Linked DNA regions of Nothobranchius furzeri. The main gene of each other region encodes a partner of the protein of the gene in region 2 in a complex. Links are inferred from orthologs where the notes say so. Each region holds a gene or a part of one and is shown on either strand. Other genes may lie near its edges.

What was found.
Region 1: the proteins of rnaseh2a (region 2) and rnaseh2c are in contact, whole or in part, in a crystal structure (PDB 3PUF), measured with the Homo sapiens proteins. The link is inferred for Nothobranchius furzeri from reciprocal best matches to the Homo sapiens genes RNASEH2A and RNASEH2C. Residues at the interface, in NP_006388.2 of Homo sapiens: Thr11, Asn99, Ser102, Thr103, Leu106, Gly107, Arg108, Val109, Val196, Glu197, Lys198, Leu199, Glu225, Pro226, Val227, Phe228, Gly229, Phe230, Pro231, Gln232, Phe236, Leu245, Ala249, Glu250, Asp251, Val252, Ile253, Trp254, Glu255, Asp256; in NP_115569.2 of Homo sapiens: Pro33, Cys34, Glu35, Val36, Ala37, Val38, Ala42, Pro43, Val44, Gly45, Arg46, Phe47, Phe48, Pro50, Ala51, Arg53, Ser62, Phe63, Arg64, Gly65, Arg66, Cys67, Leu68, Leu134, Glu135, Thr136, Lys143, Gly146, Ala147, Thr149.
Region 3: the proteins of rnaseh2a (region 2) and rnaseh2b are in contact, whole or in part, in a crystal structure (PDB 3PUF), measured with the Homo sapiens proteins. The link is inferred for Nothobranchius furzeri from reciprocal best matches to the Homo sapiens genes RNASEH2A and RNASEH2B. Residues at the interface, in NP_006388.2 of Homo sapiens: Val227, Phe228, Ile253, Trp254, Glu255, Ser284, His285, Tyr287, Phe288, Arg291, Gly292, Leu293, Glu294, Ser295, Ala296, Thr297, Ser298, Leu299; in NP_078846.2 of Homo sapiens: His16, Phe18, Lys39, Asn42, Gly48, Ala49, Ile50, Val63, Lys64, Val65, Phe66, Lys67, His70, Phe74, Val79, His86, Phe87, Val183, Tyr211, Gly214, Leu215, Asp218, Tyr219.

Annotation. Positions count from the first base shown.
Region 1 is NC_091741.1:88,182,639-88,192,536, forward strand, and holds rnaseh2c (ribonuclease H2 subunit C), read left to right. Parts: upstream 1-5,101; 5' UTR 5,102-5,504; intron 5,505-6,174; 5' UTR 6,175-6,175; coding exon 6,176-6,329; intron 6,330-6,458; coding exon 6,459-6,571; intron 6,572-6,656; coding exon 6,657-6,776; intron 6,777-7,010; coding exon 7,011-7,034; 3' UTR 7,035-7,198; downstream 7,199-9,898. Other genes in the region: seipin, read right to left, coding at 2,836-2,871, 2,974-3,117, 3,209-3,287, 3,373-3,623; zbtb3 (zinc finger and BTB domain-containing protein 3), read right to left, coding at 8,958-9,898.
Region 2 is NC_091747.1:71,083,684-71,093,538, forward strand, and holds the start of rnaseh2a (ribonuclease H2 subunit A), read left to right. Parts: upstream 1-4,347; 5' UTR 4,348-4,453; intron 4,454-4,697; 5' UTR 4,698-4,706; coding exon 4,707-4,833; intron 4,834-4,903; coding exon 4,904-4,975; intron 4,976-5,990; coding exon 5,991-6,117; intron 6,118-6,199; coding exon 6,200-6,287; intron 6,288-9,137; coding exon 9,138-9,275; intron 9,276-9,855. UniProt on the Homo sapiens protein: Catalytic subunit of RNase HII, an endonuclease that specifically degrades the RNA of RNA:DNA hybrids. Participates in DNA replication, possibly by mediating the removal of lagging-strand Okazaki fragment RNA primers during DNA replication.
Region 3 is NC_091754.1:26,816,506-26,826,544, forward strand, and holds the start of rnaseh2b (ribonuclease H2 subunit B), read left to right. Parts: upstream 1-4,606; 5' UTR 4,607-4,965; coding exon 4,966-5,029; intron 5,030-5,643; coding exon 5,644-5,712; intron 5,713-9,483; coding exon 9,484-9,591; intron 9,592-10,039. UniProt on the Homo sapiens protein: Non catalytic subunit of RNase H2, an endonuclease that specifically degrades the RNA of RNA:DNA hybrids. Participates in DNA replication, possibly by mediating the removal of lagging-strand Okazaki fragment RNA primers during DNA replication.

The DNA.
Region 1 (9,898 bases), on a different chromosome or scaffold from region 2:
CAGTCTTGTTGGTAGAGGGTAAATGTTCAAACTCTCACACCACATCCTTTGAAGTACAGCTAAAACCAATTAACATTAAAAGTGAATGTATGATGACCACCACAGTGAAACTGCATCTCCATTAGTTGTGTCAGTAGCCGACCGTCCTCACCAGATCTAGTGACATTATGAGGTCACACATAACATTTTATCATCCTTTCTCAACATGAGATGATCTGAAATGAAAGATGGTGGGAGATGTGCATTTCTTTAAGAAATACTTGGCTTTTAATATAATGAAGCAGTTAAATTAGGACCAATAAGTTAGGATAACTCACAATTCATCATCTAATGGGCCATACCCATCTGTACCGGGTCGGCCCGGGCCGGGTAGCACCGGTCGGCCCCAGCCTGGCCCGGTTGATTCCACACATCCTTGCCTTAAGCCCATGTGGGCTGATTCTACCCACCAATCCGAGGCTTGCTCTAATGGAAGGTGTGAATTTGCTGTCAGCAGTGGGTGTGTTGGCCCTGGTCGGCCTGAAGCAGACCCCCTGGAGAAGAGGGCTGAGAATGAGCCTTGGTTGGCCTGGAAAAATACCAGGCCACCCAGATATGTAAACAACCTACGCTACCCGGCCCGGGCCGACCCGGTACAGATGGGAATGGCCCATAAGACAGTGGTTCCCAACCTTTTTCCCAAGGGACCCCGTTTTTTACCAGTAAAATTTTTGACGACCCCCTCCCATTCTCTCTTCCAGTACAAACAGTATTAATAAATGATAAAATTGTTCAAGCACATTTTAATATGCTTTGATTCAATAGATAACAGTAATAGTAGGCTCCAGTGCAGAACAAAGTCATTAACAAAACCAAACAGAGCATAATGTGCTTGACAGTTTGTATTACTTTTCTGAACACATTGTTTCTTGTAAACACTGATAAATCAATCATTCCTTTCAATAAACGTTTGACACATAAAAAATATCACTGAGCAAAATGTACTTAAATGTGTATATTACTGTTTATACTAGATTATTTACTGTAAAGGCTGTGATTAATGAACCAGTCCTATCTTTAATGAACTTTTGACACTTGAAAATAAAACAGTGAGCTGAGCAAAATGTTCTTAAAAGTGTGTTACTTTTTCTGTACTAATTATTTCCTGTCTTAATATCAGTAAACTTTTCACTCATGAAAAAAATGTGAGCAAAATGTAGGCTATAAACAAGTAATAAATGAAGTTTTAACCCCTTAAAGAGCAAGTAACGTCTAAATTAACTTTTTTTTGCTGATGAACTGTATAAATGAGTGTCTAATAGTGTTTTAAATGTGTGTATTCATTATTTTAGCATTTTGGTGCATTTTCTTAAAAAATTAAAAATTCTGCCTAAATACCACAGTATAGCTCCACCTTCAGCTTAAAACATAGAATTTGACTCATTTTGAATAAATTTTAGCCAATGGCTAAAGAGTAAGATACTACGTAATCCAGTAGAGTACTACGTAGCAGCTCTGTGTCAACGTTATAAAAGCATCGGGAGTCTCGGCCACGCCTTGTGGCGAGTTGGGAGTTGGATTTGCATGCGAGTGTAGGAGGCTAGCAGTAGTTCAGCATTAGCATATAGCATTAGCATATCCTAGTCTTTAGCATAGCTTTTAGTGTTATACATACTTATTTAGTGTTAGCTTGGCTGTTGGATATTGTAGTTTAGTTACTGTTTGGCTGTTAGTGTAATTAGGAAAGTAGTTCGGGTTTAGTGCTCCATATCGTGTTAGCATGGTGAGATGGTGTAGTGTAGTATGGTTGCGGAGCTCTGTCGGGTTGCACTCCTTTCCGCTGGACTTAGAAATTAGGCGCCAGTGGTTGCGTGTCTGGAAAAGATTCAGCTCCCGCCTGGTGCTGTAGTTTGCAACCAGCATTTTACCCGCGATTCTGCACGTCTCCGTTCCAAGAGGGAGGCTGTGCCCACCGTGGCTCTTCCGCGATTTAGATACAGCCCACCGACTCTGCTCCCCCACCATGACGGGCTACAGTCTGAGGTGAGTAAGCTAAATAAAAGTTTTAACATCTTCTAAAGACAATTTCCTACCTAAATGCAAAGTTTGAGAGACGTGGTTCACTCCATTTAGCTAATATCAGTCTGCACTGCCTTCGGGCTATTTTGTCAAGTTCACAAAATGTGGAACGGGATGTAAGGTTAGAATCAGCGGCGAATCGGAACATATCTCGAAGCCCTGGCCGACAAAACGGTCCACATGACTGTCAGGCTCAGAGAAAATTCGGGTTGTTTTTGTGTCAGTCGGTAATTCAGCAACAGTGACTCTAAACTGACGCAGCACTAGTTGACAGACATCATTACAGCGTGAAATCCAGCACAGCGTGACCCGGTTCCGTGAGGAATTCTGTTCAGGAGGTCGCATTTCAGGGTCTCCACATCAGTGGAGAGGTCCTGGCGACCCACTGAGAGGCTTTGGCGCCCCCTTGTGGGGGTCGGGACCCCCAGGTTAGGAACCACTGATCTAAGAGAATGAGACCAAACTTCTCTCTACACCTGCGGATTTCCTTCAAAATGTTCTGATTTAATAATTACTCCTTTGCTCAACTTTACTGCATTTCCTCTTTTTTAAACTAAATATGGGAATTTCATGGACATTTTCAAATATATGCTTATAGAACAACTGTTGCACCAGTTCTATTTTTACAGTATTTAACCAACTTGATTCAGTTGAGCCTCCTGAGTTCAGCTCATGTCTTCTTATAATCACCACAGAGATCCCCTCTACTGCAGTGGAGCTCCACAGGAGCAGCTATAATACCAGGCTGTGTGGGCAAAAATGCTTTACTGTACTCACAATGCGGGAGCTGGAGGCCTTTTGCAGCTGGCTTGCCTGGGAAACACATTTCAGCACAAATCATCACAAACACTGACAAATCTAGTTATTTATTTATTTATTTATTTATTGGTGTGTGGAGACACAGCAGCAGCTTACAGAGCGAGCAGATGTTGCAACTTGCTCTCCATCCTGGGAGAAGCAGGCCATCTTTATCATGAACATCCCCACCTGCTGATTGGTTGGAGAATCAGGCATCTCCAGCTGCAAATAGATCCGATAAATCTGGCCAAAGGTCAGCGCCTGCTCACACATTTAACAAAATCTCAATTTAACCGGCGAATTTACTAAACAGTGAGTTGACCATTCAATAGAACAATACAGATAAACTGACATGCTTCTTGTCTCTCATCAAAGAGACGTTGGAGACAGGGTGAGAGCACAAAAAGGAAGATAGAGATTCACAATCTGTCCTGTTGAAAGAAAAATGTAAAGAAATTGTGAAAATTAAGAGGAGGAAAATAAACAACAAGGAGAAACTAGCAGTGATGTACACACCTGTAGTAATAGTGCACAGGTGTGGAGAAGGCTGCCCTGGGCATGTAGGAGTAGTAGAAGCTCCCGTAGAGAAAAGCAGCAACACTGAGGAGCAGAAGTACGATGGAGAAGATGGTGAAGCCCTGTAAAAGTCTCCGACGTGCCTCTAGAATCGCTATGGCAACAGCATCCTGGATCTTCACTAGAGCACGACTAATGATGACTGAAAGTCCCCCCACATCATCTGAAGGCAGATGGCTTTTCTGCTCCATAAATTCTGACCTCTGGAAGGATAAAATCAGAGGAGCGGAACATTTGAACACATTGATTTAAATTATGGAAAAGAAATGAATGAAAGGAGTAAAACAGCCAAAAAGTAACAGTTAGATTTCACAATAATTAAAACTGACGGCTGGAAGGTTCTTGGGTTGAGATTTTCTTGGAATTTAAAGACGAGAAATTATGTACAGACTTATAAAAAGCAGACAGACGACGTTACAAAGTAAGAGAACAATCCTGTACATTCAGAGAGATGCAAACCACTGAGTCCAATCACAGTCATGAGGGAGAATCTTTCATACCATTTGACTCTACAGTATCAGCCTGACGGTAAGGTTTCTGCTCAAAGAGGGAGAAATTAGTCAGGTTTTAAAAGGTGGATAAAAGGTCGGTTACAGTAAGGTCGAGTTATTTAGGTTCTAGTTGTTGTCACTCATGTTAGATTTCATTTCCATTGAAAATCAACATTTTTAAGATGAACTCATAGGCAGGGAGAAGTTTTTAAAAAGTAAACTAAGTATTTTTAAACCAAAAGTTAAAAAAGCATACATCTGAATTACATTTCCTTCTGTCCTTATGAGATGAACTCACCTCTGGTTTCTTTTGGACCAAATATGAGCTGTTGGGAAATCAGACCCGACGTTTCTCAGTCCTCTCTGGTGAAACACAAACAACAGGCTTCAAGGATCTCATCCTCAGTGCCTCTGAGCCCAAAGCGGGACCGGTTTAGTCCAGCCCACAAGGACAGGGGACTCTTCCAACTAGAGCATATATATACATGTCAGTTTTTTCTCCAGTGTCTCCATGAGACCCCTACAGTGTAGATGAGACCCCTACAGTGTAGAACAATGATATAATGATTAAATTAATGAAATGTATATGTTTGATTATTAAAGTTTACATTTGAGTTCATCCTTTTGGGGGGTTTGTGTTAGTTTGCCCTCTTACTGTTTCATAAAGCTTTTTTTAATCTTGTGAATAGGACTTTAATAGATTATTTTATACGTTTTCTATTTCTGACTCTGATTGGCAGCTCCTCACCTGCTTGGTTCATCATAAATTCACATGTGGCTACTTTACTGATCAGCAGATGATTAGGTAAATAAATTGTAAATGTTTTCTGTGTAGTTCACATTTGCCATTTTAAAGTTTTCTTTCATGAAATGCTGCTTTAGCAGGGATGTTTGCTGTCCTTGCAAAAAACAAACAAAAACAAAAACATTACCCTGAACTACTCGGCACTAAGCATGTTTAATATTTAGTTACACCCTCTCTGGGTGGTGACAATATGTATTTGACCAATTTAGCAAACATTTTGGTGATTTTTTCCCCCCAAGAAGATGATTCAGCAAGATTATCATACTGTTTGACACTCATTTTTTTTAAGTCAACCTTAAATTGTATAAATTATAATATTGGCAGTGACAAAACATATTTTTTTAAAAACTAAAACTAGCTTTTAGTTTATTAACTCAATATTCCTCCTAGCACTTCAATGTTCCCTGTCCCACTGGTTGCAGTTCAGGTCCAAATAATGAAATATTTTATCTAGGGTATTTTAGCTCAAAGGTTTTTATTTATTTAGATAAAACACGAATTACTCGTATACGTAATGAACAAAAATAAACCCACTAATGTGATCTCCAAGTCTCACACATTTCTAAGTAAAAAGTAAAAAAGAAATTTCTTATTTTTCATTGTTGAACGTCAAAGCCAAGTTAAACCTCACCAACAGGGGGCGATAATCTGCGACAGAACGGAAACACCTCGCCAAAATGTCCTTGAAGTAGAAGAAGAAAAATTTTATCCAATCAAACGAGTGTCTCACATTATGCGGAAGTAGTTCCGTTACGCGTTTGGAAAACAGTAGAAAGGTAAACGTGGAGATTTATTTATCCAACGTTAGTTTAAACGGTTTAACTACATGTATAATAGTGTTTGAGCAGAACAAAAAGTCCTGGGTAATAATGTAGTTTTAATCCTGTAGTAGGGAAGTGTTTATGTGATGCAGCATTTAAATTTATTTTCAGCTTTTGAATTTCCCTCTAAATAACTTCAGTAACTATTATTTACTTTGTCTAACAAACTGTTTTTAATGTCAGTTCTAGTGAGTGCAGAAAACATTTGTGTTTAGATGACGATGGTGATAGTAGTTATAATGAAAACAGGACATAAATATAGTTTGACAGTAGAGGAAAAAGGAAATAAAGAGATAAATACAAGGGAGTATGGCGTGTTTTCCTAAAAAGGACAAAAGTAATAATAGAAATGTAAATATATTATTTTTAGATGAAGGTTCTGCATTTATTTACACCTAAAAGAAGAGATGAAGCCATCTAATGCGTATAAATAACAATTATATCAATAGAAAAGCAAATAGCCAACCACCAAGTTGTGATCTACGCTCAGATTAAGTCATGTTAGGCTTTGTGTTGCTCAGAGAAAAAGGAAGAGACCTCTGCAGCAGAAAAAAATCTTGTTTGGAAAATGTCTAAAATGACTCTTTTAGTGTAATCTGTTCAGTCTCTTGTGTTCTGGCTACAGGATGAGCTGTAACACCAGTGTAACACATCTTGATGTGACTTCACTGGGGCAGGTCAAACAGGCCCAGGTCCACCTCATGCCCTGTGAGATTGAGTATAATGGACCTGCCCGGGTCTCAGAATATTTTACTTCTACTACAAAAGACCGTAAACAAGGTACACAGTCTCACATCTGTTACTTGTAACATGTCTCTACTGGCGGTCCGTGTCGCTTACTACAAGTATCTAACTTTCAGTAGTTTAGTTAGTCCAGCAACAGTTTATCATTTAGTTTTCTAATTACAGAGAAGACGGTGTCATTCAGAGGACGTGGTCTGAAAGGACAGGAAATCAGCTGTCCACAGGGCTACACAGGCCTGGTGTTGAAGGAGATCAACAAGCATGGCTCTGACCAGGAGGTAAACATCAAACACTTAAGGCGATTTTCTGTCATTTCTACATGTTAATTTATACGTGTGTGTGTGTGTGTGTGTGTGTCCCCAGGACAGGACAGTGAGGGTATCATCTGTGTTTAACAAACTCACCTACTGGAACCTGGAAACTCCTCCAACCTCTGATGATACTGTGGTGATGGCCATGGACTGGCCTGAGCTTGCAGATGCTGTAAGTTAATTAGTCTAACTTTATCTGGATGATGGAAAGATTAAACTGAACAGCTGTGACTTTACTTATAATCTCTGACATATAAGGTAAAGCTGGAATGTGAGCACGTGTAGGAGCAACATTTACTTGTTCCTATTTGCCTAAACACAAACTTCATTAGGAACTAAGAACTATAGAAAACACAAGCTGGTGTATGGATTTGAAGTTGGATGATACTGTTTTGTTTTTTCACAGATCCACGGGCCGGTAGCTGAATGAACAGACTGATAAAACACCCTGTTAGGGCTGATGTCTCTTCAGCTTTTTCCAAGTGGTACACATCTTGCTGCCAGCTAACCAACGATAACAGAGCCAGCTATTATATTGTACCAATTATTGCTCACATTTTATTAAAAAAAATTGTAAATAAAGACAAAACATTACTGGCTGGTATATTGTGTGATTTAATGGAAAACAGCCACATTTGTGCCACCTTCACAAGATTATTTTTATTCACAACAATTAGATTTTGGACGTTCACAACCAAAAAAACACTAAATATTCACCGCCTTTGATCACTTTCAAAGTCATTGGCTTGTATGCTAAATTCTGCTCACACTTCACTGTACACATTTCAAAAAGTTCTTCAGGCACAGTCCAACTTTACATTATATAAATAAGGCAGAAACGTGCACGTGTGTGTGCACTAGAAAAGGGTCACACTTGGTAAAACAGAACTAACAGCGGATCCCTTCATTTTAATTCAAACTGAAGTGGAAAAATAGAATTAGAGATCTGGATGAAAACTGTCAACACTTGTTGAGTATAAACTGCTTTTTTATTACTAAATTTATCTTAATTTTAAGAGATTGTCCTGTTTTCTAAGAAGTACCACATGTTTGTTACATACGTCCTACAGCTGCAACAGTAATACACCCCCACTCCCCCAGCACTCTGGCTCACGTTGAAAGAATAAAAGACGAGGTGAAAGAAAACACTTTGGCACACTGGATAAATACAGCTTACAGTGAATCTATTATTGAACAAAGCGCATTAAAAACAGAAAAACTAAAGTTATAAAACGTTTTTTTAACTAGATATTTTAAACACGTTTGCCTCTTGCTGGGCTCGGTTGGATTAACCCTGTAAAACATGACATCACCACTACATTTGCTGGTACAGTCACACAGACAGGACAGTCATGTATCAAAACCTATTGAATTATAACTATAGCTTTCCGTTATATACATTAACATGGCAAACACTTGACATTATTCTATTAAGACATTAAAATACAGCTCCTTAATAATCATCCATTCTTACGATGTCTGGTGTAAGAATGTTTAATTGAACAATGCACAAGAAAAATGGTTCAAATGACAAACCTAGACTGTAAAAAGCCTCTTAAATATGACTAAATGTAGCATGGCAGGTACCAGATCAGCATCGCACTTGTGTTACACGCTGATGGTGACATCAGACAAGATAAACTGAATAAAACTGCTCCAACGCTGGGGGTTATGCTGCAAGACTTACGGTGTATTTGTGCTTTGGTGGTGGAGGGAAAGTTGCAAAGTTGTTGCAGTTTTCTTTTGAAATGGTAACATTTAGTGTTTTTAGATAACTAGACTATTTTTAAACACAGTTAACCTGAAGATGAGAGATAACAAATAGTTTTAATAAAATATCTTAAAAGTCCGAGATGGTACGGCTCCCATCTACCTGAATCCTCTTGCAAAGGCTTACGTCTCGGCCCGGCCGCTCCGGTCATCACAGGATCGTCGGCTAGCAGTGCCTACACCACGCTCAGGACAATCCAGACTCTTCTCATGCATCGTTCCACAAACGTGGAATGACCTTCCAAGCACTACAAGAACAGGGTCTTCCTTTTCAATTTTCAAGAAACTCCTGAAGACCCTGCTCTTCAGAGAGCATCTTCTAAACTAGCACCCTCCCTGCACCCGTCCCCCCTCTCTACTGTCCACTCCTTGTTCCCTCCTCTCCTTGACTGATGTCAAGTTGTTGTTGTTATTGTTGTTGTTAGCCTCAAGGGCAACATGCCAATTATCACTTGTAAGTCGCTTTGGACAAAAGCGTCTGCTAAATACATAAACATAAACAAAATATTTAGTAAATGATAAAAGTGGCATTTAACATTAGGGTAGACGTAAACTAGTGTCAGAGGAGCTCTGATAGTGTGTGTTAGCTAAGAGGCGGAGGTGGTTGTTGTGGTAAAGAGGGCTCAGAGTGAGCCTTGCTGCGTTTTGCTGGCAGACTCTGGTCGTGGGCTTTACGAATGTGTCGATACAAGTCACCCGACTGTGTGTAGCTTCTGTAGCAGTAGCGACACTCATATGGACGTTCGCGTGTGTGCACAATGGCATGGCGCCTTAGAGTGTATGTACATGAGAACGTCTTTCCACAGGCGCTGCATGTTGGGACATCTTCCACAAAGTTGCCCATAGAATCCTGGAGCTCTTGGAAGTAAGCAGGAGGGTCTGACTGCTGCTGAGATGTGGACGGAGGAATGAGAGACGCAGCAAAGGAGGAAGCTTCCTGTGAGGACGGTCCAGCGCCAGAAGAAGAGGAAGATGGAGAGAGGGGGAAGGAGTAGTCATTTGAATGGGTGGTGATTTGTAAGAGGGCCTGTGAATGAGAGGAGAGAAACTGAGGGCTGCTCATCTCTTCATCCTGGATATCTTCCTCAAACTCATCTTCCACGTCCATCACTGACTCTCCTTCCCTTCCTTCCTCGTTCTCCTCTTCTAGCTCTTCATCAGAAATAACAATGGCCTCCTCTTTAACTTTTACAGCCCCTCTATCTTGGTTTGTACTAAGTCTGGGGTGAGAACGTTTTTTTCTAGTAGTAGGCGAAGCTTCAGTGTCCACTGGCCTTTGAAGTGTAAGAGACTGAGAAGCATGTTGGCAGTCCAAACTCTGGCGCTGGAGCGATATTGCGCTCTGAATCCTGATTTGGGGAGTTTGCTGAACTGCTGAGTCTCCTGGGTTTGTTTGGAAGTTTGCTGTGAGAGTTGGTGCTTGGACTGATACAACCATCTGATGTTCTCTATGGTCAGTGTGTCTAAGGTCAGACTCAGATGAATTCTCAGGAGAGTGATCACGGGGAGGCTGGAGCTCATCTG
Region 2 (9,855 bases):
CATGAGCCACCTCTGGAGGAGGAATCTCAGGGCGTTCCCTGGCCAGCCGAGAGACATAGTCCCTCCAGCGTGTCCTGGGTCTACCTTCAGGTCTCCTCCCAGTTGGACGTACCAGGAAAACCTCACCAGGGAGGCGTCCAGGAGGCATCCTAATAAGATGCCCGAGTCACCTTAACTGGCTCCTCTCGATTTGGGGGAGCAGCGGGTCTACTCCTAGCCCCTCCCGGATGGCCGAGCTTCTCACCCTATCTCTAAGGGAGAGCCCAGCCACTCTTCAGAGAAAACTCATTTTGTCCGCTTGTTTCCGCGATCTCGTTCTTTCGGCCGCTACCCAAAGCTCGTGACATTAGGTGAGGGTAGTTTGACCAGTAAATCGAGAGTATCGCCTTCAGGCTCAGCTCTCTCTTCACCCCAACAGACCGGAACAACGCCCGCATCGCTGCAGATGCAGCACCAATCCGCCTATCGATCTCGCGCTACACCTTTCTCTCACTCGCAACTCCTCCACTGGCAGGACCTCATCCCTGACCTGGAGACGGCCTTCTACTCTACTCAAAAAGTTAGTATTTGGTTTATATTTAATTAATTTGAGTAGTTAAGTAACTGTTTTAACACAAAACACAAAACTTTTTTTTTATCAATGCCTACGTGTTTGTTAGATGTAGTTGAGCATTTATTTGTCTTTCAACTAAGAACTAATAGTTTTATTTCTGACATGTTTGATTAGAAACTATAAACTTACGCTGGTGAAACTTTGTAACTAAATATCTTATATTACCTGTTAAAAACTTCATTACCATCCCGTGTTTATTTATAGAGCACATTTAAAAACAGCATAACAGCCGACTAAAGTGCTGCACAGGACCGGGGCAGTGGGAAGATAAAAACGCGTTGCAAAAATACAAACAGAGCAATAAGCATCCATAAAATGCCTTCTCCGGGTCAGGGATGAGGTCCTGCCCCAAGTGGAGGAGTTCAAGTATCTCGGGGTGTTATTCACGAGTGAGGGAAAACTGGAGCGTGAGATCGATAGGTGGATTGGTGCTGCATCTGCAGCGATGCGGGCGTTGTACCGGTCTGTCGTGGTGAAGAGAGAGCTGAGTCAGAAGGCGAAGCTCTCGATTTACCGGTCAATCTACGTTCCTACCCTCACCTATGGTCATGAGCTTTGGGTAGTGACCAAAAGAACGAGATCGCAGATACAAGCGGCCGAAATGAGTTTTCTCCGAAGAGCGCCTGGGCTCTCCCTTAGAGATAGGGTGAGAAGCTCGGTCATCCGGGAGGGGCTCAGAGTAGACCCGCTGCTCCTCCACATCGAGCGAAGCCAGTTGAGGTGGCTCAGGCATCTGGTCAGGATGCCTCCTGGACGTCTCCCTGGTGAGGTTTTCCAGGCACGTCAACCGGGAGGAGGCCTAAAGGTAGACCCAGGACACGGTGGAGGGACTATGTCTCTCACCTGGCCAGGGAACGCCTTGGCTGTGCCTACAAATCATGTCCATTAAAGTTATAAACAGAATTGGTGACAAAGGGCAGCCTTGGCGAAGTCCAGACTCTCACCACGAACAAGCCAAACTTACTGCCGATAATGCAGACCAAGCTCTGGCACCAGTCGTAAGGACACCTGACAGCTCATATCAAAAGACTGGGCACCACATACTCCTGAAGTACCCCCCACAGGTTCCCCAGAGAGAGACAGTCGAATACCTTCTCCAAATCCAAAAATCACACGTAGACTGGTTGTACAAACTTCCACGCACCCGGCAGGATGGAGTTGGTCCAGTGTTCCACGGCCAGAATGAAAACTACATTGCTCTTCCTGAAACTGAGGTGCAACTATCCAGCAGAGCTTCCATTCCGGAGCCCCTGAATAGGCTTTACCATGGAGGCTCAGGAGTGTGTTTCCCCTCTAGTGGGAACACACCCAGCAATCCCCCTTTTCTAGTAGAAGTACCACCATCCTGGTCCGCCAGTCAAGCGGAACTCTCCCAGATGTTCAGGAGAGATTGCAGAGTTGCATAAATCAACATCCCCACAACATCCAGAACCTTAGGAACTCAGAAAAACTGCCTTCCATCCCTGGAGCCCTGCCACCTTAGTGACCTCTGCACCAGAGATCGGAGAGCCCAACCCAAAGTCCCCAGAAGGTGGAATTGAGGAGGCCTTCAAAGTACTCTACCCACAAATCCACTATGTCTTGAGTCGAGGTCAGCAACACACCGCCTGCACTCTAAACAGCGTTGGGAGTGCATCCCTTTTCTGACTGGACCCTTTCTTCAGCTTGACAGCATCCTTAACCGCTGGTGTCCACTAATGGGTTTGAGGGTTGTTGCAATGACAGGCACAGAGTAAGTGGCTCTGGCCGGCCACCTCGACAATAGAGGAAGGGAACATGGCCCACTCTGACTCAGGGTCCCCTGCTCTCCTGGGATGATGTTGAAAGTTCTGTCGGAGGTGGGACAGGAGACTCCAGCAGATGTTCCCAGCAGACCCTCACAGAGCTGCAGCTTCCATGAGCTCAAACTTCTTGTTGTGCAAATCAACATTTGGCACTGGAGGAAGCCAAATCGGGTGTAAACGTGCACTACCCCCGCATGCGTATCAACTCAGAAGTAGTTTTTGATGTCAAAGATATATGCTGATTTAGCTTGTTTCTTTTTTAATTGAAAAACAAGACACTGAAATATTACAAACAGTAAACAAAACATATAGGCTACAAGACAAAGCTGAAGTTGGTTCTCTTTTTTAGTTTCTGAGTCGGGATGGGCCGTTCCAACAATTGGGTTTTTTCGGCTCTCTGAGCGTATTTATTCTGCTTCAATTATAAAACCACTAAACCAAGACTCTTCAAACCTGGACTATTACTCTACCTTAACAGCAGCCTCTATGATAAACTGACTTGTGAAGCCTTTTTATGATTAGTGAAAGTCCAAAGAAGGATACTTTTTTATTGTGAGTTTGGATTATCACATGCCAACATATTGTTCCATTTTATAACAAGAGCGCATTAAAGCTACTCAGGGAGTGGAAACAGTAGCAGGAAATGTCCTTTCTGATTCTGTATCTTAAAAAGGGAACCAACTTCAGTTTTATACAAAACAGGCAATAAAAACAGGGGCGTGCCCAGGGAGTGGCCTGGGGTAGCACATGCCACCCTTAGAATCTGATTGGCCACCCCAGGTGCCACCCCACTAAGTTCCAATGTATTGACTTTACATCGTCGACAAAAGGCTTGGGTTGTAAACTCCAAAATAGTGTGTGGGTGCATGCACCTTTCACCTTGTTTTCTAGCCCAGGCGTGTAGTATTAATAATATTTAATATTTTTTCATACTCACATACATAGTATTTAGAGTCCCACTCAACTCCAGTTGGTGGTAGTAATGCAACAAGAAGTGACTTGCTAACCACCACAAAAGTAGAAGATGAAGAGGGGAAAAAATGGTGATTGTGCAACGTGAAACTCAAAAATTCACTAGAAAGTAAATAAACAAATAAACAATTTGTGTAAATAAATAAATAAGCATATCCATTGGTGCCACCCATGAATAAACAAGTGCCCCACATGGGCCACCCCATTTTAAAAGTCCTGGACACGGCTCTGAATAAAAATAAACAAAAGATTTAGCCTAAATTATTGCATTCCCAATAGCTTCGATGTAGTAATATGTACACAGAGACTACAGATCTATTATTTCATTGTATTTACACAAATAATTTTTAGGGGGCCTTATGGGACCGGCTGTCTTCTACAATACACCTCCAGGGCACATTCACCCTGGACAACCTATAATATTTGGGATCAGCCTGAAGGACTACCAAACAGACTACGCTATAAACAACTTATTACTCTCATAAAATTTCATTCATTGCTCAAAATAGTAGAGGAAAGCCTACTTTTAATGTATTCGAAACGCATTGTTATAGAAACTTATCTTATTGCCTAAAAATGTATGAGATGTAAGCAGCGTTGAACTTGAATGCATTTGATGAATTGGACAACGGTCTAATGATATGTACACAAATGTGTAAATGTGAGAGTGGGCGTGGTTTTATCTTAACTTGTTATCCTATTCAACATGTTTCTGTTTGCCTAAATGGAAAAACTTGGAAAACAAAATTCACTCTAACTTTTCCAAAAGTCTGAAGCCTATTTGGTCAGTTACCTCCTTAGTGTCCAGTTTTTACCAAAATAGTGCAACAAAAGTAATTTTATACATTTATCTACAAGAATGACGGATACATTTTGATTCATTTGTGTTTCACATTGTGAAAATCCTTATTTAGGCGTTTACAAACACAGCGATGTTATTGCTGTGAGTCTCCAGGCCAGATGAGGGCGCTACTGAGCATCACAAATAGAATAGGAAGAAGTCCGTGATGACGTCACTCCCAGGCGCCAAAATCGGTGTCGCTCAAAAGCACAAAAAGGCAGAAGAGGAACACATTTACCGCTGGTAAGGGTACCGTTTTCCTTTTTAGATGAATTGTTGGGATGAATATGTGTTTAATGTTCTCTCGTGACCCATTAAACACAACCTATTATAGTATTAACGATTTCTGCCGGTACAACGATGCTACCAGAAAAATCTAACAAGAATCCGTTCTTTATTAACGTTTGAAGCTTAATAAGGTGTTTTTTGTTACTCGGTAAACGGGATAGTATCCCATTAAGCACTTTAACGCCGAGTTTCCTTCCAGACAGCAGTAATGGACCTGAGCCCGTTTGAAGCTGATAACTCTGTCAGCTGCCGGCTAGCCTCTCAGATCCCGGACGTGTGCAGGACGGAGGACTGCTGTCTGGGTGTGGATGAGGCGGGCAGAGGGCCTGTGCTAGGTGTGTTAAAATAAAACAAACCCCAGTAAACCTGCTCTCCTCCATGCATACTGACAGGGTTTTGTTCCAGGGCCTATGGTGTATGGGATATGTTTCTGTCCAGTATCTCAAAAAGAGGAGCTGAAGGCCTTGAAAGTGGCAGGTAATAATTATTTTTATTTGTTTATATTCCAGGCTCATGCTGACCTTCATCTTTATTTTCGTAAACTTGTGCAAATTTGAAGTCTATTAATCTTCATATTCTGTATTGGAAAGCAAAGCTGTAAACAAAACGAACTACAATAATATTAAACAAAATATTGTCACACACACTGGTGGTATATATATATATATATATATATATATATATATATATAGTAATATATATATATATATATATATATATATATATATATATATATATATATATATATATATATATATATAGTAATAAGGCGTCTATGTGAATCGTATCGATCAGAAGAGTTTTTGTTTGGGGGTTCCAGTCTGTCTTTATGTGAATCAGTTGGAAAAATTAGGAGATTCATCTTGTTCACAAACTACCGTGTCAGTCACACGTTGAATTGAATCAAAACTGACTTGAAATTGAAGTTATAAAGCATTCAAAAAACAATAACAATAAAGTTTTAAGTATCAGGCATTAAAGCAGAAGCTTTGATGCTCCACCTGAAAGTAAATCTGTAAGGCTTGTCACCAGCAGTCAGACATCAATTCTGTTTGCTTCACAGCCAGACAGGACACGGGGAAAAAAATAAAAATAAAAAAATAAATAAAAAGAAACTGAGTTGAAGTAGTTCCCGAGTGCAGCCGCAGCTCACCGCTCCCTACGAGGATGGGTCAAAGGTGGAGATCAATTTCTCCAATGTGTGATGACTAATGGGACTTTAAATTTAACTTTAATAATTTACTGATCATTTTTGTCGGGCTTTTGGAGCAGAGGGACAGTCTGAACCTGATGGTAGAAATTTTTTTGCATTTTGCAAGAAAATCACATTGATGGTTTGTTTGAATTTTTCCTACAGATTATTAAAAAGTCTGTAAACGCCAGAGTAGGTCACTGCAAAACCCTTCCGTGTGTGTGTGTGTGTGTGTGTGTGTGTGTGTGTGTGTGTGTGTGAACGTGATAAACAATTTGTCATCCTCTTTTTCTTAATCAGATTCAAAGACTCTAACAGAGGCAGAGAGAGAAAATCTCTTCCAAAAACTGGAAGAAGCCAAAAGCTACGTTGGCTGGGCCCTGCAGATTCTTTCACCCAACGTTATCTCCACCAGTATGTTACAAAGGTTAGTCACACTGAGCTCACACGAGTGATGGATATGGAAACACACACACACACACAATCATATTCTCTTGATTTGTTTCAAGGACAAAATACAACCTCAACGCCCTCTCGCATGATACCGCCATCGGCCTGGTGCAGTTTGCCTTGGACAGCGGAGTTCAAGTTAAAGAGGTGTGTGAACTATGAATATGAACATGCTGCATGCATGTTGTGTTTGACCTCTTTATTAGGCACGTCTCTTCATCTGTTGTTGGCTTGCAAGACAAGCAGGTCCATCTGATCACCGGGACCTGCTGAGGTTCAAAATGAGCATCAGGATGGAAAAGAAACAACATTTATGAGTCGTGGTTGTTGGTACCAGACAGACGAGTATTTCAGAGCCCACTGATCTTCTGGGATTTGAACCCACAACCATTTATAGAGTTCATAGAGAGTGGTTAAACTGGTTCTAGATGATAGGAGGATCAGATCAGCACTGGTTCCTCCTACCATGGTCTGCAGGGGAGCACCAGCTGCTCCAGACAAACTCCAGCAGCAGAAGACCACACCAGGTGTCTCGCCTGTCAGCTCAGAACAGGAGACTGAGGCAACAACTCGCACCGGATCAACAGAACTGGACCAGAAGAGACTGGAAAACCTTTCCTGGGCTGATGAGTCTGGATTTCAGCTGCAACATTCAGATGGTCGGCTCAGAATTTAGTGTCACCAACATGAAAGCATGGATCCACCCTGCCTTGATCAGTGCTTCAGGCTGCTGCTGCTGGAGATGTTCTTGCCCTACTCTGGACCCTTCAGTCCCATCTGAGCCTGGTGGAACCACCACAGCCTACCTGCATATTGTTGCTGACCATGTCCATCCCTTCAGGACCACACGGACCCATCTTCTGATGGCTTCCTCCAGCAGGATCATGCACCGTGTCACAAAGCTCAGATCATCTCTAACTGGCCATGAGTTCACTGGACTCCAATGACCTCCACAGTCACCAGATCTCCTCTTTTGGATGAGGTGGAACAGGAGGTTCTCATGGATGGAGCTGACATCAGGATGGACCAGAACCTCTGGGGAATGTTTCCAACAGCTAGATGGATCTGTGACCTGAAGGATTACAGATGGGGATGTTCTGATCGTGTTTATTTTAGTTGATTCAGGGTAATTTGATTTGAAGAACCTGGCGACGCCGAGTCCTGATCCAATACTTTAGAAATGCATTAATAAAAAAGGAAAACACTCGAGAGTTTTTAATCATTAATGAGTTTCTTTCTTTCTGTATTTATGTCATTTCTTTAGTTTTATCTGCCATAAAACATCACTTGTTTTATTACTCGTCACTCAGGAAGTACATCAGTAAGAAATGAGGTAATATTAGGAATATATTTGAAAGTAGTCTTGTCACCCATATTGCAGATAGTGTGCGACAGGGATGGCACGACACATGGCGGTCAGCAACAGGGTTACTTCTTTCTACAAGGCACCTGAAGAGCTGCTGCGTCTCTAGAGTTGGGAAGAGAAAGCAGATCATGACTCAAGGAGACCGCAGAACCGGACATTTGCAACCTCAATGATCCAGTGTGATCTGAGCGTTTTTGCTATCCATAGACAATTTCTTAACGCATCTTTTGTTTGTTTGGGCTGGCTTATCTGAATTATAGCAGCGAACTGAGCAGGGTTAGTTTTTTAAGGTGGCACACGTAGTGTTGAACGCAGCACGGCCTTTTCCAGCATGTTAAATGCCCAGTTTGCACACATTACACGTGTTTATTACACCCCCTTTGCTGTTGGTTTTAATTACATCCACGTTAGACATTTTCTCTCTCTTGAGGTGACGACTGTGTTCTGCATTAGCCTGTTCGCTAACAGGTACATGTTGTGGCGTGTGATTTCCCGGGCTACCTTAAATTGTGGGGCTCTACAGCGTTGTTGAAAATCTCTTTCTCAGCATGAATTAAAAAAGTAACGTTTGTTGTTTGAAACGATTAAATCAGGTATTTTTTTCACCTGATTCTGATTTCCTGAAAGTCACGTGATCGGACCCGATTTCTGATCACGTGATCGGATCGGAGCATCTCTAATTATAGAGGTTCTGAAGGAAGAGGTGGATCCAGCTTGAAACGTGTACCTATGAAGTGACCAAAACAAACTAACAGACAGAAGCTTTTTAAATCCTCATTCAGAGATGAATGTTTGTAAGATTTCATATGAAGACTTTCTAATGTTTTTGCAGGGTATCCGCGGGTCCTTTAAGTCTTAAATTTGCTTTTTCAAATTTAAGGCCTTAAAAATCCATAACAATTACAAATAATCCTTAAATACAGTTTCCAAAGGTCTTAAATTACCAACGACCCAATAAACAAGATTCTTTCATTTCTATAAAATTTTCGTGAATTTCTAGTGTTCAGCATTTGTTGTGTACGATGTTGGCGTAAGCGGAACCGTACACATTCAGTTGGTTGTGAAAGGGGGCTATTTTTAGATGAGCACATTAGCTGGTTAAGCTAGTGGGAGCTTGCGCCATGGGGAAGTGCAAGTTTAATGGTAACTGGATGGCTAATCCCACGTTCGTGACGTGGTTAGCACCGGTTTCAGGCAATAGCCGGAAATTATAGCTTATTTAATTTAAAAAAAGTAGCTTAAATTTGGTCAAAGTGGCCTTAAAAAGCTCTTAAAAAGTCTTAAATTTGGCTCCCTTAAACCTGCAGATACCCTGTTTAGGTAAAAAGTAAACTAAGTGATGCAACTAAACCCAGAGACGTGCGATGCTTAACCTCTAAACCGTGCTTGTGCGTTCCTGGTACTCGTAAAAATCACATTCAGGTCGGTGCTGTAGGAAGGAAACTAGCTCATTTAGTCTTTTTCTCTGAACTTGTTGCCCCAAGTCCTCGTGTTCACCTCACCTCATGTCTTCATACGGGGCACGGGCCTTTTTACATCTGAGGAGACAAAACTTTCAGTCATTTTATTATGATTTAGTTTTGCTGCATCCTGTTTTTCTCCATCAGTCGGGTTTATCTGGTCTTCCTCAGGTTTATGTGGACACAGTCGGCCCAGCAGAGAAGTATGAGGAGAAGCTCTCCCAGCACTTCCCTGGCGTCCAGGTGACGGTGAGGCCAAAAGCCGACTCCCTCTTTCCCATCGTCAGTGCTGCCAGCATCTGTGCAAAGGTGGGTCGTCCTGCACCTTTTCTTCATGACATCACTCGTGTTCTTAACATGTTTGACATGAGAGCAGCAATGCTGAAGCATCAGGCCTACGTCACAGAGAGGAGGAGCTCTCAGTGTAGCGGTGGGTGTTTAGGTCCAGTCTTCACCCTACACGGGTCACCAAGGTCACGAATACAAACAGGACAGCATGATTTCCCTGTGTTGGGTAGCTATCAGCCTTAGACTCAGAGTGGAGCTGCTGCTGCTCCTCCAGGAGGTTCAGACATCTGGTCTGGTCCCACGGGTGGAGCTGAGGGGAGGACCGAGGACTCTGCTGGGGTTGCTCCGCCCACAACCCAGATAAGTGCAGAAAAAAGGTCAAAATGTTTACAAACATAGGTTTGGGTCCTGTGTGGTGTGTGATGTAATCATGACATCATGCTATGGCGGGGATTAAAGCTCTCCGTCATGGCGACGGAAATCGCTGAGCAACATGGATGCATCAGCGGATTTCACTCTAGTCTGTGTTCATAATGGATTAAGAAAGGACAGGAAAACATTGTTAACTCAAACATATCATTATAATGAACATGTATAGATA
Region 3 (10,039 bases), on a different chromosome or scaffold from region 2:
CCATTGTAGCTTCTTCTGAGGAGAAAAACATCCATCCATCCATCCATCCATCCATCCATCCATCCATCTATCCATCCATCCATTCTCTTCCGCTACTCTGGAGTCGGGTCATGGGGGAACAGCCTAAGTCAGGAAGCCCAGACTTCCCTCTACCCAGCCACTTGGGCCAGTTCTTCTGGGGGAAACCCAAGGCGTTCCCTGGCCAGGCGAGAGACCTAGTCCCTCCAATGTGTCCTGGGTCTTCCTTTAGGTTTCCGGTTGAATGTGTTTTACATTTTTTTTTAGATATGGGCACCTTTTCTTCCTGCAGCTCCAATTTAATTTATTACTGACACAAAACTCAAAACATAGACTTAATTTTAGTAGATTCTAAACTTTTTAAGCTGACAGATTTTTTAATTTATTTAATATGGATATATAAAATACAATTCCTCATATGTGACTTTTTCATTACAGTTTCAAAGAGCATTAAAATGTGGATTTCTTTTTATTTTCATTGATTATTATCAGAGAGATGCATGCTCCTAAGACTCTATGAAACAGTTAATGGTCAAACCATTAAACAATGCTCACACAGGCAGAGGGAAAACCCCACATTTGTCCAGGGGCCTCACACGAAGCACCTGATGCTGGGAACAAGGACTCACCATCATAGAAGAGACTTTACTGGAAGAGAAATCTCCCCAGTGAGAAGACTGGCAAAACACTCTACGTGAGTGTGTGTGTGTGTGTGTGTGTGTGTGTGTGTGTGCACTGCAGACGTGCGCTAAAGCTCAAATGTTAAACATGCCTGAGTGAATAGCATTTCAGCTTTTCCAGCATTCCCGGCATTCCGTCCTGTGAATTTCCAGGCAGCGTGGGGTTCACTGATCCTCTGACATCACATGGGAAGGTGGCGGTGTGTGTGGGGGTTCCACTGCCTTCTACATTCTTCCTCTCTTGTTCGCACAATCCCACCCATGTTTGGAAGCGAGAGGAAGGGAATCCCAGATGATGACTCAGATGCTGCTGCAGCGGGAAACTCTCCGCACATCTGTTTCCCTCTGCTGTGAGGACGTCGGTGTGAGCATCCTCCATCTGTCAAAAGGACGTTTCACCCGTGCCGAGTCCAAAATGATAACGTGGCTTTGACAGAAGAATGAAACAATAGCTCTTGCATGAGCGTGATTAAGTGACGCTGTTTCTATTTATATTCAATTTCTCCTGGCAGCAGCATCAGACAAAAACCGTCCTTTATCCTCTAGAAACTCTCAGTCCGAATGATGAGGAGTTGACGGAGAGCTACTTCTTTTACAGATTTCTTGTTTTTGACTTGTTTGTGGGTCACACTAAAATGTTTTAGATCAGCCAGTAACTTAATAATGAACAAAGATGATCTGAGCTAAAGCAAAATGCAGTCAAACGCTACCAAAGGCACCCTTGTCACATATCCATCCCCCTCAACATGATCATTACAAACCACAGGCCTAATTAGCAGCTCAGTGGCCTAGTGGTAGAGTGTCTGCCCTGAGACTGGGAGATCAGGGTTCGATTCCTCATCGGGTCATACCAAAGACTTTGAAAAAATGGGACCCAATGCCTCCCTGCTTGACACTCGGCATTAAGGGGTTGGATTGGGGGGGTTAAACCACCAAATGGTTCCCGAGCGCGGCTGTGTCTGCAGCTCACCGCTCCCCCGGGGGATGGGTCGAATGCGGAGAGCAAATTTCGCACACACATCAGTGTGTGTGACAACTAATGGGACTTTAACTTTTAACTTTAGCACCAGAACTGTAGAATTAAGATGTTACTTCAAAAGAACCTGGCTGACATCATGACACAGGTTGAAAGATCGCAGAAAGCAACACATGGTGCCTCGTAAGAAAATTCAAGCATAAAGGAACCCAGAATGACACCCGAGCGATGTAGAACGAGACAGGAAGAAGAACAGAAAACACTGGAAAAGTCTTCCAATGTGATCAAATTAAAACTATTCTGTGAAGAAGAGTGGGACAAACATCCTTCAGAGGTCTTGCTTTCACGAGCGTTCTCACCAGTTATTAGATTGAGTGATCAAAAACTTTTTCACACAGGACCAGGTTGGTTTGGAAAGCTTTTTCTCCTTCTAAACTAGTTTACTAGTTGAAAATAAGATTTTTAATTTACTCAAAATTGAAGTGTGACAAAACAACAAAAGCAAACGAGGGCAAATACTTTTTTTATAACAGCAGTGTAAACCTCCCCTCTGTAATAATAATAATAATAATAATAATAATAATAATAATAATAATAATAATAATAATAATAATGATACATTTTATTTAAAAGCGCCTTTCAGAACACCCAAGGTCACTTGACAGAAAACACTTAATAAAATACAATAAAACAATAATAAAACCCAAACAAGTAGGCAGATTTAAACATATGTGTTTTGAGTTTTGTTTTGAAAAGGGTAAAACTGTCGGTGTCCTTATTTCTGGGGGAAGTGAGTTCCAGAGACGAGGAGCAGAGCGGCTGAAAGCTCTGCTCCCCATGGTAGCGAGACGGGCAGAAGGAACCGCAAGATGGATGGAAGAAGAAGATCTGAGAGAACGGGATGGGGTGTGAATGCTTATAAGGTCTGAGATATATGGAGGAGAGAGGTTGTGGATTGCTTTGAAGGTATGGAGGAGAATTTTGAAGATGGACCTGAATTTAACTGGGAGCCAGTGAAGCTGTTGGAGAACCGGGGTGATGTGGTGAAAGGAAGGGGTTCTGGTGATAATACGGGCTGCTGAATTCTGGACCAGTTGCAGTTTATGAAGGAGTTTGTTGGGGAGACCATAAAGAAGTGAATTGCAATAGTCGATACGGGAGGTGACGAGGCTGTGGACGAGAATGGCGGCAGTGTGAGGGGTAAGGGAGGGGCGAAGACGGTTTATGGAACGTATGGAAGTATGCTGACTGAATTATGTTATTAATGTGAGCTTGAAAAGAAAGTGAGCTGTCGAGGATGACACCCAGACTCTTGACGTGAGGGGAGGGGGAGACTATGGCGCTGTCAATAGTAAAAGAAAAGCTGTCAGATTTTGAGAGGGTGGATTTAGTGCCAACTAGAAGTTCAGTTTTATTGCCGTTGAGTTTGAGGAAATAAGAGGTGAACCATGATTTGATTTCTGAGAGGCAGAGTGTAAGGGAGGATGGTGGGAGAGTTGAGTTGGGCTTACTGGAAATGTAGAGCTGGGTGTCATCCGCGAAGCAGTGAAACTGGATATTGAATTTGCGGAAGATTTTGCCGATAGGGTAACACACAGGGACGTGAACGCTCACGCACGAGTCAATACCTAAAGCTGCAGCCGGCCACAAATGAGATCATAGCTGAACGTTGGGACGTGTGATCAGGACACTCTCCAGATGAATGTTTATTATGCTCACCTTGAATTTAAAAGGAAGAACGTTCAAAGAAACACACAGCTCCTTTGTATTTGTGTGTGTGTGTGAGTGATGAAACATTAGTTTTCATTGGATGCAAGATTGATGAGGACTATGGAATAAGACTCTGGAGAGGGTCTCACGCTGGAGGTCCAAACCATGAACTTAAATTTAGATCCACTTTGTTCTTGCATGCCAATGTCAGAGAAATGGGCTCTCTGGAGCTCGTCTGTGGTCCAGTGTTCTAGAAAGGACGCTGTTGTTCTGCCGTGCCGTCTGAAACGCAGACGATCCCTCAAACAGCCCAAAATGAAAGAAAGGCTTTCATGGACTAGTCTGTTTAACTCCACAGACGGTCGAGTATGATTCCCCCTGGACTCATGAAACAAGTAATTCACAGATAACGTCTCACCCATGCTCTTATTTTGCTACAGAGAAACCTAAATTGCACTGATTTCAAGGAGGAGCCGATGCAGCGTTCAAAGAACATGCGCTGCTTAGATCTTGAGAAATCTAATTTCTGAATAGAGTGAAAAATGTGGTAGATGACATGAAAATGAGCATGTGTGCGAAACACAAGTCATCGTGTGCACGTCTTAATTTTCTCCCTACTACATAATAGTCTCCGACAGAGACAGGGATCACAAATCTCTCCCTGTCTCGTTAGTAAAACGAGCTAATTAAAAAGCTGTTAATGGTGTGAGAGAAATGAGAAAAATTAACAGCCATAAAAACATATGAAGGTAGAACTAAACAAAATGATTACACAGTCAAATTAAAGAGTTGAAACCACACACACAAGCATCCTACACATCCCTATTTGAGCGTGCAGATTAACAGAGCAGGAAGGAAAAAACAGGAGGAAAAAAAACCCAACAAAAAACAAATGAGTCACTGAAAACCAACTGGGACACACCATGTCACATCCTGAGAGAGAAAGTGAAAGATGCCCTCCTCTTATTGAAGCACAGATGGATCTCCCAATCTGTTATGCAGCAGTGTGCCAAATGACAACTGGTCACCAAACATCTTGCACCTTAGAGCACAGACTTTAATCCCAGCCCGGTTCAGATTAACCAGTTTCGTTTGTGACAAGAAATCAGCACAGAAAAGGCCTGAATGAGTCCAGTTGTTAAAATTAAAGGTCTCAAGCGACCTCTAGCGGGCATGTGGAGAACCTGCACGGTGGATTGACGTAAATTTGGACCGTACTACTATGATAAAGTGTGTGTGTGTGTGGGGGGGGGGGTCCGCTAAATTACAAAGGCTAAAACAGGATTGTTATTGTACATTTTGATTATTTGTTCATATAAAACCACTCAATATACATTAACTTTGTTTTTAAGAGAACCGTGGTCGTAAAAACCTTTATAGACTCTCTTTAAACTGGTCTATTTGACGGATGAAGTGGAACCGCGCAGAGGCGCCTTTTCTGAGCTCACGTTGTCGTGCAAAAAAGGAGCTACGCTATGTAGCCTGATAGGCTTGCTAATGTTTGCGTCCCAAACGGGCTAGTTTACAACAAAAACAAGGCGCAGCAGCATAAAGTCTTATTTTTAAGTGTATTTTTTCAGCATGGCTGCTAAGAAGAAGCGAACACCGAACACACAGAACGACAGCTGGGTTGTTGTTGCTGCAGGTAAGTTTAACTGGGCTGTTCTGTGCTAGGATGCTAAAAACGATAACGGATGATAGCCCTTTTACAATAGCATTCGGTAGCTTGTCTTTTATTCAGACGGAAACCCGGAAACTTAATTCATTTGATAAAACGTAAAAGATAAAGGATTCTGTAATTGTTCAGCATGGGTTATTTTATTTTATTTTATTTTATTTTAATGTGACATTTTCCAGGAAAAACGCATCAAACACTGTAAACAAGGAAGTTCTGCTAGTAGTGGCAAATTTGCACACCCAGATTTCTGATTAGGATTTTAATTATGTGTTAATTGTATTTACAACTTTTTAGTCCTTTTAATTTGTCATCACTTGCCCGTCCCAATGTAGTTCAAGATGAATTTCTTGTTGCAGCATTTGTAAAATGCTAGATCCTTTGTAGTTTAAATCTATGAAATTACAAATACAATCGCCCCCTAAAACATACACAAATTATATATTAAAAACATTAACTTTTTTATTTGCACAAATTAGTTTGAGTGTTCACAGGCATGTGTGGCAGCATTTGATCACATTTATAAAAATAAAACATTTATAAGTTGTTTGTTTAATGTTTTTACTTCTCGTTGTCCTCCACAGAGTCCGTCACAAACACACAGAAGCACGAGAGTGATCCAGCTTTCGTCAGTCTCAAGAATCCCTCCACAGGTTTAACTTTATTTAAAACCAGTTGTGTATTTACATAAAAGGGTTGTTTCCTTTTAGTTTATAAACATGAAATTTTCATAAACGGACAAGACACTTAAACAATATAGAATTATAGCTTAGATTGTAGATTTTGTACTTTTTTATGACTGATTGATCCCAATATCCCAGTGATCTGCTGTAGTAGTAGTTTCTATAATGAGAAGAAGATGAAGTTTGGGTTTTGCATTACTCTAACCCTGAGATTTTAAAATTATTCATCAGTGATGACAAAAACAAATCTAGATACGGAATGCCTTCCCTCTGGACTTATTGCTGATATTTTTCCACTCAGAAAAAATGTCCCACAGATAAGCTGCTGATACGATGTAGCGGTACTTATTCAGGACAGGGGTGGACATTAACTTCAAAACCAACCGGCCAGCCGGGCCGGTAACTCTGAATATTTACCGGCCCCGCCAAGAATCTACCGGCCCCGCAGGTCAGCTGCCAAAACGAGTCAAAATAACAACTGAACCGTTTTAAATGTAATAAACCTTTATTTTGTACACATTCACAAACATAATAACGTATTCAAGTTTGAATTTGTTTGTTCCCTCAACAAAACTCGATTTTATCGTTGCATACTTCCGGCATACAACGCAGTACATCACCAACTCCGCTTTGCTGTATTCGAGCCATAGGCCGTGTTCGAGATGAGCCAGTTCTGTGCAGATTAGACCAGCGGTGATCGGCGAGCAGTGCATGCCGGTTAGATTCGTGTCTGAATTGACGCCGACTTGCTCTGACTTCATGCATACGTAGGCAACGATAACCTCGTGAGATCAAGGCGGCCGCAGATTTTGGAGCAAGGCGCTGCAGTTGCTCTCCCTCGGCTGCAAAACCTAGATGATGACGGGAAACGCCTGGCTCTCACCTGATCTAAGATCTGATTGGTTCATATTTTGATCCAAACATCCGGTGGTAGAACATGAAATGTTAGTCGGTCACATGTATTCTGTAAATCACGTATAGGCCATAAAGAGAAATGTGTTTTGTTTTCTTTTGTCACGTTTCCTATGAGCACACTGAACCTACAGCTGCTAACCTTTACTTACAGTCATGTCTTCATATACAATATATGATATCCACAAGCACGTGAGGATGAGTTTCAGCTGCTAACAGGCACCAGAATTAAAATTGAAAATTGAACAAGTGTGAACGCTAACACAATATCTTCAGCCATCGTCACCCCCGAGCTACACATGCAGGAAAATCCAAGAGATTCAACTGGCAGAAACAACTGGTTCTCTCTCTCTCTCGCTCTCTCTCTCTCACACACACACGTAGAGGAAAAGAGCTGAGAAAACTACAGCTGAGCCGAGGCGCGTCTCGAATGGGGCGCGTCTGATCTGAACTGAGGAGCGGCCGGATTTCGTGAGCAATTCGCTTCTCGGCGCTTTGGGCGCTTCCGCGGCTGGTGTCCCGGGCGAAACGCCGGCTTTCAGCCACTCCCCCCGCTGCTTTGTCTTCTCTCGCCTGTTTTCCAGGCGAGGCGCTGCTCAACTCGAACACGGCCATTCTCTGCGCCTCCAGTCTTCTTTAAACCGCCAAGAATCATTCCACCTACGCACACGCTTCTCTGCTTCATACCGTTTTGAACTGTCTCGCTTCTCCTCACCAGTTTTAAAGCGTTTTGCCGGAGATTTCATCAAGAAATCCCATCCCTGTGGTGGCGCGATCTCCCTGCGTGCTTGTGTGTTTCTAGCGTGGTTCCACTTCGTCTTTAATAGTGAACTTATAGTTCACGTGACTATAACTAGAATGTGCAGTACGTGCACGAATCGTACAAGTGCAGCACGTGGCTAGAGGCGCGCAGGTTCACGCGCGCGAAACGAAAACGGCAGCTTCCTACAGGGCGGGGCCATGATGTAGGTGAAAGCCGGTGTGTAAATGACAAATAAGGCTTGGGCGCCACCCAGGCGGTAAGTCGTCAAGTATTTACCGCCCGACGAGAAAATTTAGCGCCATTGGCGCTCGGGCGCTTTAAAGGTCCACCCCTGCAGGAGCATAAAATGTGTTTTCAGTTTCTCTTTTAAACTGATTAGACTTGATCTCTAGTGCACTACAAACTGATGTTCCCCTAACCTTTTTAAAATACCGTATTTTCCGCACCATAAGGCTCACCTGATTATACGGCGCACAGCCAATCAGCGTCCTAGTTAAAGGTTTGGTCGTCACATAAGGCTCACTGGATCAAAACACGCACCCCGCAAAGCAAACGAGCGTCCCGGTCGGCACAGTTGAGGCAAATTGGGCACTTAGATCAAAGTCAAACGTTACTCCACTCATTGTCTATACTAAAAAATAAATTTCTCCTTATTAAAGTAACATAAATGTCCCAATTTAATGCACGGGTGCTTTTAGCAGCAAGAATGAAGATTTAAACTCTCTTCACCTGGATTTTAACGGCGTCGGTGAGATGGGCCTGCACGGAGTCGCAGATCAGCATGCCTGGATAAGTGTGGAAGAAGCCGTCCTGTCTTTTGGGGTACACCTCCCGCCGCCACGCCGCCATCATGTCCTCATCCATCCAGCCCTTCGGGTTCGCCTTGATGATCACGCCGGCGGGAAACTTTTCTTTGGGTAAAGTTTTCCGCTTTAAGATGACCATCAGCGGCAGCTTCTGGCCATCAGCCTGGCAGGTGAGCACGACTTCTCGTGGCCGGTCGTCCGCACAGACACCGTGCTGGTCCCCATTTTCTCCACGGTCCAGTTCACCAGGATGTCGAAGGTAAGCAGGACCTCGTCCATGTTGGTGATGTGCTGGGGCTGGATGTTTTTGTCTGCCATCTTCTTGGTGCAATAGGAGCGGAACAACTCTAGCTTCTCAGCGTAGTCGGCGGGTAGTTGCTGCGAGACGGTAGTTCTGGTGCGGATAGAAAGCGCTCGCCTCCGCATGAAGCGAAAACACCAGGAAGGGCCTCCTATGAAGTCCCCAATGTCCATCTCTCGTGCTAATGCTGCAGCTTTGAGACGAATGAGACGCTTCTGCTCGCCACTCGCTGCTCTGCGACCCACTGCTCAACTCGGTCTTCAAGCAGCGGCCATCTTGCCTTGTTGCCTCTGAAGCTACGCTGTGTTTTCTTCACCTGCAGCAGCTGGTCTTCCAGCTTTCTCCACTTGCGGACCATCGACTCGTTAATCTTGTATTCTCGCTGCTGCTATGTTTCCATGCTCAACGGCGTGAGCGATGGCTTTGAGCTTGAACTCTGCCTCATAAGCGTGTCTCTTTGCTGGTGCCATGGCTGGTTACCGGTATAGCTGTGTGGAGCAGTGCCACACCTTTTATTTGGTGAGGGTGATAAGGACGGCGCTGGGGGGTACCGCGCTGGGCCAGAGTTACCTTAATACATGTATAAAAGGCACATCCGTATTAAAAGGCGCACTGCCGGTTCAGGGGAAGATCAAAGGTTTTTATTAGCGCCTTATGGTGTGGAAAATATGGTACCTTTGCTAGTTTGAAGTCAAACTTTGACAAAGTACAAAATCAAATGTCACTTCTTTTTGGTAATCGGTAGTAAAACTTGCCTGAGACTCAGTTTTTACCACCTTACTCTGTGCATGTTGACTTTATGATGAACTGATCAGTAAAGTGCATGTGTAAGCGCGAGCTTCAGCTACACAGTTGTCATATCTCAGCAAAGTCTCTGCATGTTTCCCAAGAGCTTTGACATATTTCTACCCTTGTGACCTGCAGAAGTGAAAGTGACACGGTTCCCCTTTCCCCTGCAGATGGAGCCTCTCTGTACCTGCTGGGAAGTGGAGATTTACAGCTGTATGAGGTCAAAGCGTTTGAAGAAGACTTCCACTCCTGGTTTGTTGACCAGACTGTGCAGAGGGGTGGGTCCCATTTCTCATGACCGCTGTCCCGCGGATTCAGCTCAGCCAGTAGGAACAGATTCAGAGTCGGCTCCTTTTGTTTTCTATCTGTGAAAAGTTTGCAGTCAGCTTTCACGTCAGTGCACTTAAAGGTTCAGAGTTCAAATTATCATTTAGAAATGATCTAAAGTATTGTATCAAACACTACATGCCACCAGGTCTGAAAAGCTGATGCTGAACTCTTTAAATGGTAAATAATACAGGTATCTTGTTACTCACATGTATAATTTTTAGGGCTGGGGATAAACGATTATTTTTTAAACGATTATTATGACGATTATTTTATCGATTAGTCGACTATTCTAATTGCTATTAAGATGATTAATCTAACGATTATTTTTTTATTGCACGATTAATAAAAACAAGAAAATCTCAAATTCCTCCAAAAAGTTGATAAATTGTTACTGTA